Rattus norvegicus: one gene and its partners. The protein of the gene in region 1 purifies or fractionates together with the protein of each later gene. This does not show direct contact. Links are inferred from orthologs where the notes say so. Each region holds a gene or a part of one and is shown in the gene's direction. Other genes may lie near its edges.

Region 1 (2,397 bases):
AATCTTCTCCTTTAGGCTCTCACTGAGCAGCACTGAGAATTAATGCAGGGCCTTACCTGTATTGAGGAGTCCTCTAGCGCTGAACTACCAGCTTCTTAGCTGCCTCAAGAGGTACCAATAGCCCTGAACACTTTTCTTCCCTCAGAAAGACTGTCTTTCCAAAATACTTGGTGATCTGGGAGTCTTGCTCAGTGATTGAACAAGGTGTGCATCATGCCTGAGGCCCTGTGTTCTATCCCTAGCACCAAAAGTAGAAAGAAAAAGCCAAAATACTTGTAAACAGTATATGGTAGAAACCTTGGCTTTCTCTCTGCATTCTATACATTTTCTTTCTTAGGATTTTTAGGGCATCAAGTTGGAAGAGTTGTGTTTTATTAGGGGTGGGTGGACAAGTTGACCTCAAACTTGTGTCTTCTGTCTCGGCCTCTGAAGGCTGGGGCCATGGTGTGAGCCTCCTCACCCAGCTCTCAAAAGGTTTTAAGCTGCTGTTTTCCCTTATTCACAGACAAATCTGACCGCCCTGTCTGCCGACACTTTTCTAAGAAGGGCCACTGTCGATATGAAGACCATTGTGCCTTCTACCATCCAGGCGTCAACGGACCTCCTCTGTAAGACTGTGCCTTCCCACCCAGGCTGGAAGGAGCCCTCTGACCTAGTGGCCATGCATTCTCTGTGGCTCCATTATAGCTACTTGAAGGCTCTTCTGTCACCTTCAGGCAGTGGCACGTCCACCCCTTTCATCATCTCTCCCATTTGGGGTCCAGAGCTGTGACTGTCACTGGTGCACAGTACACACTGTCCTCTGATCCAGGCTGTAGAGACCTTCAGGACCCCATCTTGCTACCTTCCACTGCCTCCTGGATCTTCCCCTCTGCCAAATGACTGCTCCACAGGAAACCTTTGGTGCTGTTTCTTGTGCATTTGTCCACCTCTCCCTCAGTATTGCCCTCAGTTCCCAAGAACCCTGGAGCAGTCTCTTATCCTCTAGCTGCTTGTTTTAAGTCCTTTCACGTAAAACCCCAGTGTTTGCAGCTGCCAGGAAGTGCACTAGGTTTTCCGGCTTGAGGTTGAGTTTGAGTGACTGGTACAGACTTGCTCCCTAAACAGCCTCCACCTGCTTTTGGACGTCCTAGTTTCTGTCCGTAGCATGAGCCCCACCGCTAAGGCCTGTGGTCACTGTGCTTTGTGAAACTGTACGCCCCTTGTAGCCTTCCTCGGTGTCTGTGGCGTTTTTTGTGACTTCCCAACACTAGAGTAAGTTTTTCTGCCAAATCAAGTGAGGCTCTTGGTGCCCTCTAGAGTTCACCTACCTCCCAAAACGGGAGGATGTGAGACATCTTCAGACTGCCTCCCCGTCGTGCCCTCCTGTTCTGTGCCCTCTGGTATTCTGGGTCTGACACAGGCCAGTGATGTCTTGGAAAGCTTCCGACGGGCCTCCCAACACAGCTCCTGCCTGACCCGTTTTAGTTAGGCTGTCATTGTGAGGCCACCAGCCCTTTGATTTGACTTTGTGAATCTCCGCCTGTCTCTGGATGGAACCTGAACAGTACTGTCTGTCACCTCTCTGACCCTCTTACTTCCCTCACACTGGGTGTTTTCTGTGAAAACAGCAGTGAACATGTTGGGTTTTGAACAGGCCCTAAGGAAGTGGGTCAGGAGGTATGTGTGCAAGAGGAGAGAGAGCGCTAGAACTAAGAATGATTTTGTTTTCTTTTTAATTTTTTTTATATTAGTAATAAACACAGTGGAAACCGGTGTCTTCTCTCATTTCTCTGTTCCAGTCTTCTCTGCAGGTGCAGGGAAGCCTTCTCTGAGGCTTCTAGGGAGTCCATTCATTCCCTTAGTTCATCAGAAGCAAAGGTACACTCCGGAAGTGTTGCTGTGCGGAGAGCAGATCAGTGACACAGAGCTGAGGTCTGAAGGATGCACAGGAGGAGCAGTGAGGGGAGGAGTCTTGGCAGTGCCTGGCAACAGTGCCTGGAGCTGAGGTTTTTTGTATTTTTGTTTTCTGTCTGAACACAGAATCTGAAGAGTGGCTCACTTACCACTTATTTTGTGATATTTTTCCCTTGTAAATCAAAACGTGTAATTCACATGAACGCTGTAGGTGATATCTTTGTAATGACTTTGTCTCACTGTCAAAAGGTTGACCATGGGGCTGGGGATTTAGCTCAGTGGTAGAGCGCTTACCTAGGAAGTGCAAGGCCCTGGGTTCGGTCCCCAGCTCCGAAAAAAAGAACCAAAAAAAAAAAAAAAAAAAAAAAGGTTGACCATGGGGGACAGACTTAGAAATGGAGATTTCTAAAATACTTTTTTAGATTTATTTACTACTTTATGTTTGTAAATATTTTGCCTCCCTGTTTGTATGTGTAGAATGTGTGCCTGTTACCCATGGAG
Region 2 (4,234 bases), on another chromosome or scaffold:
GTACAGCCCAGAAACTTGTCTAAATCATATAAAGATAAGGGTTCCAGCCCACTGTGTTTATCATTTTTAAAGCCTGTCTTAAAATATAATCATATAAAGATCTGATTACTGAAGAAAATCATGCATTCCTGTTTGACTGGATTTACCTTGCACTGAGAAGTGACCAAAAACCAAAACCAAACAAACAAAAAACAAGAAAACAAAACAAAGCAACCGAGTTCGATTCAATAAATGTTTTTCTCCTAGTCTTTTATCAGCCGGGCAAGGACATCAACTTAGGGACATTCTCTTCCCCATCCTATTGTACATCTCATATTGTCTCTTTTTTAGCTAGAATATAAAAGTCTTCTGCAGGCAACTTCAGGGACCAATTAACTCCATTAAATTATATCCAGTTATGTAGTGAACTGAACCGCTGCTCGTCTGGGGCTGTCTAGAGCTGAGACAATTAGGAGACGGAGAGAAGCAGAAAGGGAGATTGATTTTATGTGTCACTGAAACACACTGCAACAATATGCCAGCGTGACTTTCAAAATGGCCTTAAAATATTCCAAACTCAGGGAGTTTCCTTGCTCCTGAGTGGGAGTTGACAGACTGTCTGGCAGCATTAGAAAAGGCAGGGAGAAACTGATGTCTATATTGTGTCCTCTAATAACATTCTTCCTCTTTTTGGCATCTTTCCCTTAGAAGGACCCGCTAGTTTGGTGTGTGTGTGTGTGTGTGTGTGTTTGTGTGTGTGTGTGTGTTTGTGTGTGTGTGTGTGTTTGTGTGTGTGTGTGTACACGCAAAGAGCATGGTTTCACATCTGGGAAAACCAAACCGAAGGACACTAACCTTCCCAAGGTCACTTAGAAAATTAGTGCTGTGACCTGGTGTGTGGGTGGAACAGAACCCAGGTGTCCTGGCTCCAGCTTTGTGATTGGACATTAAAGCATTTTCCTTTGTGGGGAGAAAAAAAAAATCACCGGTCCGGGAATTTGGGGGAAGTGAGAGATTAATCAGATTTCCTCTTTCCCTCTTTCCCTCCCTCCCTCCCCCACTTACGAAGATTAAAAACTCAGGAAAGCTAGAGGTGCCTTCTCGGCAGTTATTAAGCAGGGTCTACCAAACCTATTCCCACCCTGGACACAAAGCGATCGCCGCTCCCAGAGATTCTGTGCGTCCTCTTGAGAGCCTAGGAGGTGAGGAGTGGTGGAAAGTCAGCCCTCACCTCCAGCGGGTCCCGGGCTCGGCGGCGCCCAAGCCCCGCCCCCGGCCGCCCTTCCCCCGCGGCCTCGGCAGCCAGCCCCTCTCCCCTCTCGCTGTCGGGCGCACCCACCCCAGATGCCGCCTGGCACCAAGCGCAGCCGCCGCCGCCGCCGTACTTTCCACTTGTATTGATCACTCGTAGCTGGGCTCAGCCTGCTCCCGGAGCGCAGCGCGGCCAGAGCGCCAGCCCTTGGCAGCTCGGGCACAGTCGGGCTCCCAGAGGAAACTCCTTGGGAGCGCCCTGTCCGGGGTGTCCTCTGCGCTCTGCAGTGTCTTTCTGTCTGCCTGGAAGGAGGAGGAGGAGAAGGAGGAGGAGGAAGAGCAGAAGGAGGAGGAGGAGGTGGAGGAGGAGGACGTCGTCTGGTCCCGGTTGGGAGGTGGAGCAGTGGCAGCAGCAGCCGCCGAGGCAGCCGCCGCCGCCGCCTCCGGAAAGGGAGAGGCAGGAGAAAGAGATCGGGACTTGGAAAACCTAAAGTGTCTTCGACCCTGCACGGCAGGCTTCCTTCCAGCTTCATGGGCAAAGTGTGGAAACAACAGATGTACCCTCAGTACGCCACCTATTACTACCCCCAGTATCTGCAAGCCAAGGTAAGGAGGCGCGGGGAAGGGTCGCCAAAGGAGGGGACCGCGGAGGCGCGCGCCGGGCCGGGCTGGGGAGGGGCGCACGGCGACCCTCCCGCCTCTGGGCACAAGTGCTGGGGTTGCTAACTATAGCGCTGGCCTGGGCAGAGCCAGGCTGTGCGCGGGGCGGCGGCTTCCCGGGGAGCCGATCGCGGCGATCGGGTTACAGAGAGTAGCGGGGGGGAGCGACTAGACAGGAAAGGACCGCTGGCCCCTTCCTGGCCGGCGAGGAGGAAAGGGTCTCGCGGCCTCACGGCTCCCCCTCGTCCAGCCCGGGCTGGCGGCCGGCCGATGCTTGGGGCCCGCGGCAGGACCTGCTGGCGGCACGGCTTTCAGACCTCTCCAGGGCCTCGCCCTGCGGGCAGTAACTGTGGGGTCCCCTTGAGTGGCGCGCAGCCCCCCGCCCCGCCCCGCCCCGCCCCGCCCCACAGGACTACCCTCCAGCTCCCGCGCGCGCGACGAAGGTGGCTGGAGGGGGCCGGGACGGTCTCCTCCCCGCCTTGGGCCCTGTGCGCCCGCCCCTCGCCTCTGATCTTTGTGCGGTGTGGCACTTCACCTGGTTACTGATTTCCACTTTTACGCTGGTGTTTTGGGTAGAGAAGTGGCCAAAGTTCACTCTGCATTCATTGATATCCCCTTTAATCTTCTCTGTAGCTTTTACATGGGAGGGACAATGGACAGATTTCGATGCATAAAAAGAAGTGACTTTGTATTTACTTTTCCTTTTTGGTTGTTGTTTTTAAACCGCCTTGAGTGTGTACCAGAGAGTGATTTCCAATTCTGCTCAAAAGTGGCACAGTCTTGGGTAAGGACCGCTGATGACATGTAGGCAGGCAAATTGTGCCTGGCTTTCCAGGGACCCTGGGCACTTTGTTAATGGGCCTATGCTAATTTTACAACAGTTTGATGTCTCATAAACTAATTTTAAAAAATTATTAGGGTTCATGAAAAGTGCACCTTACCGCCCTGGAATCATACGCCACAATTAGGAAAGGCAGAATGGGATGGTGGGTACAGCAGCCTTCTTCAGCTGTTAACACACCTAGTATGTCCTTCTAGATCACAAAAGAATCAGGTATGGATGCAGTGTTTGAACTTTCTTTAGGGGATTGTTTGCTGGCAGATGGACATTGCTGACCTGGTACTAAGAATCTATGCTTCAACCTTGAAAGCTTCTCTTTCTCTCAATGTGTGTGGTCCATGATGCCCTACAACATAGCTCAGTGTTTGTCCACGTAAAAAGGACTTGTCAGCAGAGGCCAGAAATTTCCCAGCACCTAAAGGCCTCCTTGCTGCTCTCCCAATTCCCCATTTACCTTCGCTCACTGGAGATCTGTAAGGTGTTCGCAACTGCTAGAGCAGGACCGTTCATCTCCATGTGGTTGACATGCCATTGTTTTAGGAACTTGAGGGAGATTCTCTCTCTCTCTCTCTCTCTCTCTCTCTCTCTCTCTCTCTCTCTCTCTCTCTCTCTCTCTGTGTGTGTGTGTCTGTCTCTGTCTCTCTCTCTGTCTCTCTCTCTGTGTATGTGTGCTGTTTGAAGAAATTTCGTAACGTGATCTATGCGCCACCTTTTAGCTGTGTTATATATTTGATGCATTCATTTAAATAATTATGCAGCATTTGGTTGCCTGAAGGACAAGCCTATTCAACACTTAACTCCATGAATAATAAATGCACACATTCAGGTGAAGAAGGGGAGGAGCCATGTTCCTATGAAACATTTACCTTAGTAATTTTTATGTACCATTAGTAAGTTAGAAACCAACTGCATAGCATTTAATATAGCTAATGCAATGCCATTTGGCTTTTATTATTATTATATATATAAATTTTTTTTTGCCCTGTAAATAATTGAAGAGAGGGACAAACGGCAAAGCCTGCTGGAGTAATTAGGGCTGGATCCCAGGAAGCTTTAGGGTCCATTTTCTGAAAGTGTGCTTCCTGCATAAAGCATTTAATATTGATTTGTGTTACAGTAAATGACAGCCTCAAAACATACTTTGCTGTTTCTCCTATGAAATCTGAAATCTTATTACTCTGAATCCCTTTGTTTCAGGAGAAAGGTGCGTCCTCGCTTGACCTATATAATGTGGTGTTTTAAAAGTTTGGTAATTAAATCTAAACTCCCCATTGTAAAGGTGTCATAATTAGTTCAGAAAGGAGTGTCTCCAAAAACACGGAGATGTAGATTCTAGATATCAGAGTCGGAGTCAGGGACACACACCCCTTTTCTCCTTCCTGTAGTCATTGGTAAGATGGCGGTAGTGGAAGTCATTAAGAAATATGGAGACTTTATTTGACTTCTAGTTTAATGACAAGCATAATCTGCCTGAAGAGTTAATGAACTCACCGAGAATGCTTG
Region 3 (4,114 bases), on another chromosome or scaffold:
TTTGTATTAGGGGCAGAGTTATAGTCTATATGTTTAGTCAAATTCATACTAAAGATGTATACTTATGTGAGTGCTTTCCCTGCATACCATGGTAATGTATTATGTGCACCATAAGTGTAGCCAGTGCTCTCAAAGGTCAGAAGGTACTGGCATTAGCAATGGTGGTGAGCCACTGTGTGGGGGCTAGGAACTAAAACTGGGTCCTCTGTAAGAGCAGCAAGTACTCTTAACCACTGAGCCATCTCTCCAGCCCCCTATTATTTATTTATTTATTTTGGCGTTTTGGAGACAGGGTTTCTCTTGTGTGCCCCTGGCTATCCTGGAACTTGCTCTGTAGACCAGGTTAGCTTTGAACCCAGAGATCCACCTACTAGCCCCTATTTTTGAGACAAGGTCTTACTATGTCGCTATGGCTTATCTGGAAATATGTATGTATGTTTGGTTTTTTTTTTTTTTTCCGAGCTGGGGACCGAACCCAGGGCCTTGCGCTTGCTAGGCAAGCGCTCTACCACTGAGCTAACCCCAACCCTGTATGTATGTTTTTATGTTTAGTCAAATTCATACATACATACATACACCAGGCTGGTCACAAACTCACAGAAATCTACTTACCTCTGCCTTCTGAGTGGTGGCTGGGATTAAAAGCAAGTGCTCCCACGTCTGGTGACTTACTGTATTTTGACATGTGTATGTGTGAGAGTGTGTATTTTTTTTTTTTCTTTTCTATTTTTCGGAGCTGGGGACCGAACCCAGGGCCTTGCGCTTGCTAGGCAAGCGCTCTACCACTGAGCTAAATCCCCAACCCCGAGAGTGTGTATTTTTTACGTATGTATTTGAGTATGCACATTAGCATGGTTCCCAAGGAGGCCAGAAGATGGATCACCTGGAACGGTTGTGAACTGCCATGTGGGTGTTAGGAATCGAAGCCAGATTCTCTGCAAGAGCAGCCATTGCTCTTAACAGCTCAGCCATCTCTTCAGCCCCAAATTAATATTATTATACAGTTCAAAAGTCCGATATCTGGCAGGAAGACAAGTTTGATCATAAACTCAAGCTCTTCCCGCAGGTCTAGGCCCAGCCCCCTTATTTACATAGGGACCTCCCACAGACAGAGTACGCCCGCCTCTTCCGCTAGGACCTCCCTTTCCGGCAGGTCGGGCCTCCAGTCCCGCCCCTCAGCTGCTGAAGTGCGGCTCTTGCGCATGCGCAACCCGGAAGTCTCGCAGCTTGGTTCAGGTTCCCAGAGAGTTTGTCTGAGTGAGCCACGCGCGTGGCGAAGGAACCATGGGGAAGCTGCGACGCCGCTACAACGTGAAGGGGCGGCTGCAGGCGGAATCCCGGCCCGCCAAGGGTCCTGAAGCGCCTCCCGTGCGGCTGGAGCTGGAGGGTGAGAAGCTGGGGAGGGTCCCTGGAGTGGGAGCCGGGTTCCACATGACCCGAACAGGGGGCGTGACAGCCTCTCTCCCGGGGCATGGGGCTACTGCTCAGAATATGACGCGCAGATTAGTTCTTTGCATCCATTCCCAGGCCGATCATAATCATCTCCTTTCCAGAGACCCGTAAATGTGGTGCTTCAGACCCGGCCCGTTAGCCGTGCGCTAGGCTAATTGCAATGCTTGGGTACTGGGGCGCCTGTGAGCACAGGGGACACTTATTCTGGTCTCTGGGAGTAGTGACAGCGGAAGTGGAGATGGAAAACCCTGACACTCCAGGCATGCCCTGCTTACCCGGAGAAGACCAGCACAGAGAAACGATAAAATGTGTAGAATATGGCAGGCACAGGGGTGAGTACCAGAGAGATAGAGCCGAAGATGGGAGAGAGTGCTGTGCTGGGAAAGACCCACCATGGATAGTAAAATGCCAAAACCTTCAAGAAACCTGGGTGAAGATGAGAGGGAAACCCAGGGGCTAGGGGACATCGGAGTTTGCGGGTTGTAGAAATGATTGAGATTTTAAAAGTGAGGAGTGGCTGACTATGATAGCTCAGTGCTGTAACCCCAGGATTAGGAGTTTTCTGTAAGAGGATGCCTACAAGTTTGAGGGAAACCTGGGCTACATAGTGAGAACAAACAAGCAAAAAGGCTGTGTGTCTGAGAGAGATTTGTAAACCTGGCTGTAGGGAGAGATGTGCACCTGAGGGCAGTTGGGCTACATAACCTGTACCAGGCTCCCTTAGGGCTACAAAGCAGGACATTACCTTATCCCCAACTTCTTTTTTTTTTTAAGATTTTTTTGTTTGTTTATATGAGTATACTATAGCTTTCTTCAGACACACCAGAAGATTGTGAGCCACCATGTGGTTGCTGGGAATTGAACTCAGGACCTCTGGAAGAGCAGTCAGTGCTCTTAACCTCTGAGCCATCTCTCCAGCCTAATCCCCAGCTTCTAACAGAGGAAGTGAGGAACTATAGAAGACTTAGCAGAAGAGGGACAGATGAAGGATAATGTGTAACCATGACATATCGGTTGGGCCAATAAGGAAAAGCAACACAGGTTGAAGGAAGATGGGGTAGGAAGCTAGAGTTGGTGCTTGGAGCAGGGAGATAGTGTTTGGATTGTGGTGTATTCCAAAAGAGAGCTGGCCTGAGTTGCTGACTGAGACTGTGTGTAAGCACAAAGGTGATGTGCATGGGCATTGGTCAGGCCGCTGGAGAAGGCAGATGTGGGGTGGGAGTACTTGAGGCTCTGCAGATGTTCGAAGGAAAACTAGAAGCTATTGACTCAGCTGTTCAAGACAGGCAAGTTGGGGGGTGTGGGGGGCATAAACACTTTTGTATATAGATGGCACTTACTTACGTCTGATGAGTGAAGTTTTGGCTCGCTGAGAAGGGTCCAGCCCTGAAGGAGAGGGGAGTGGAGGAGAGTTGGGAGGAGGGTGCTGACCCAGATCTCGTGAAAAGGACTCACGCTTCATCTCAGATGCTCCCTGGGGTCCTGAAGGGAGGAAGGTATTGGTTGGAATAGTAGAAGGTATGGTCAGGATCAGGCTGGTTCGGGAGGAGAGTAGAGCTAAAGCGATCTGATCCAGTAGAATCAAGTATGTCTTCCCGGCTCCTGAGACCTAGACTTGGGGCATGTCACTTCACATACTTCTGCCTTTGTTTTCATATCTATAAAATGGGACGGAACTTTTCCTCGGTGGAATCATAACAGCCTCTGGCACAGCCCACAGGTCAGTAGCCAGGTTGTGAGCATTCTTCAGGGTTCCACGTATCCCAGGCTGGCCTGTGTGTGTAGTCAGGGGGCGATTGAACTTCTAGCCCTATTGCTGTCTCTCTCAAATGAGTACAGTCCCGAACTGCCATACTTGGTTTTATGCTGGGGTTGGAACCCAGGGCTCTCAGCATGGTAGCCAGGTTCCCTCCCACCTGAGCTCCATCCCCAGCCCCTCCTGGTAATGCTAACAGTTGTGACCCACAGACCCTCGTTTCGCACTCAGAGATTGGGAGGTGCTGTGGGCCACCTGCAGGAGGTGGTGACCTCCTCTGATGTTTGTCATGAGTGAGCCTCTAGGACACCCTGTGACAACTTCTTTTTTTTTTTTTTTTTTTTTTTTTTGGTTCTTTTTTTCGGAGCTGGGGACCGAACCCAGGGCCTTGCGCTTCCTAGGCAAGCGCTGTACCACTGAGCTAAATCCCCAACCCCCACCCTGTGACTTCTTGCCCCCTGGTGAGACCGTGGCTGTCTTTTCAGACAAGGATGTGTTGAAAGGGGTAGATGCCAGCAACGCCCTGGTGCTGCCTGGGAGGAAGAAGAAGAAGACCAAGGCGCCTCCTCCATCCAAGAAAGAGAGGAAGCCCCTGACGAAGAAGGAGAGGAAGGTGCTACAGAAGGTCTTAGAACAGAAGGAGAAGAAGAGCCAGGTATGCCTCGTGTGGCTGGTCTGCCCCAGCTCTCCAGGTCAGCGGGCTGGAGGGGAGTCTTTCCCTCCATGTAATTTCTGCAGCAAGATTGTCTAGTGGGACTCGCTGAAAGGAGGGGAGTGTTTCTTACCTGTCCAGTGACACGGTAGCCACTAGCTACATGTGGCATCCCATCGAGCCTCTGAGTGTGATGATGGCCTGATGGAAAAAATCATGTACGTGAAGAGGTGTGTATATAAAACATAAACAAA

Evidence for each region. The genes of interacting proteins can lie anywhere in the genome.
Region 2: the proteins of Prr3 (region 1) and Rbms1 purify together in Homo sapiens (co-immunoprecipitation; 3 studies listed by BioGRID and IntAct, with this or other methods). This does not show direct contact. The link is inferred for Rattus norvegicus from reciprocal best matches to the Homo sapiens genes PRR3 and RBMS1.
Region 3: the proteins of Prr3 (region 1) and Dhx37 purify together in Homo sapiens (co-immunoprecipitation; 3 studies listed by BioGRID and IntAct, with this or other methods). This does not show direct contact. The link is inferred for Rattus norvegicus from reciprocal best matches to the Homo sapiens genes PRR3 and DHX37.

The regions. Positions count from the first base shown.
Region 1 is NC_086038.1:2,802,920-2,805,316, forward strand, and holds the end of Prr3 (proline-rich protein 3), read left to right. Parts: exon of another isoform or gene 1-505; coding exon 506-612; 3' UTR 613-1,755; downstream 1,756-2,397.
Region 2 is NC_086021.1:65,826,102-65,830,335, reverse strand, and holds the start of Rbms1 (RNA-binding motif, single-stranded-interacting protein 1), read left to right. Parts: upstream 1-1,322; 5' UTR 1,323-1,761; coding exon 1,762-1,836; intron 1,837-4,234.
Region 3 is NC_086030.1:36,854,936-36,859,049, forward strand, and holds the start of Dhx37 (probable ATP-dependent RNA helicase DHX37), read left to right. Parts: upstream 1-1,202; 5' UTR 1,203-1,284; coding exon 1,285-1,387; intron 1,388-3,693; coding exon 3,694-3,863; intron 3,864-4,114. UniProt on the Homo sapiens protein: ATP-binding RNA helicase that plays a role in maturation of the small ribosomal subunit in ribosome biogenesis. Required for the release of the U3 snoRNP from pre-ribosomal particles.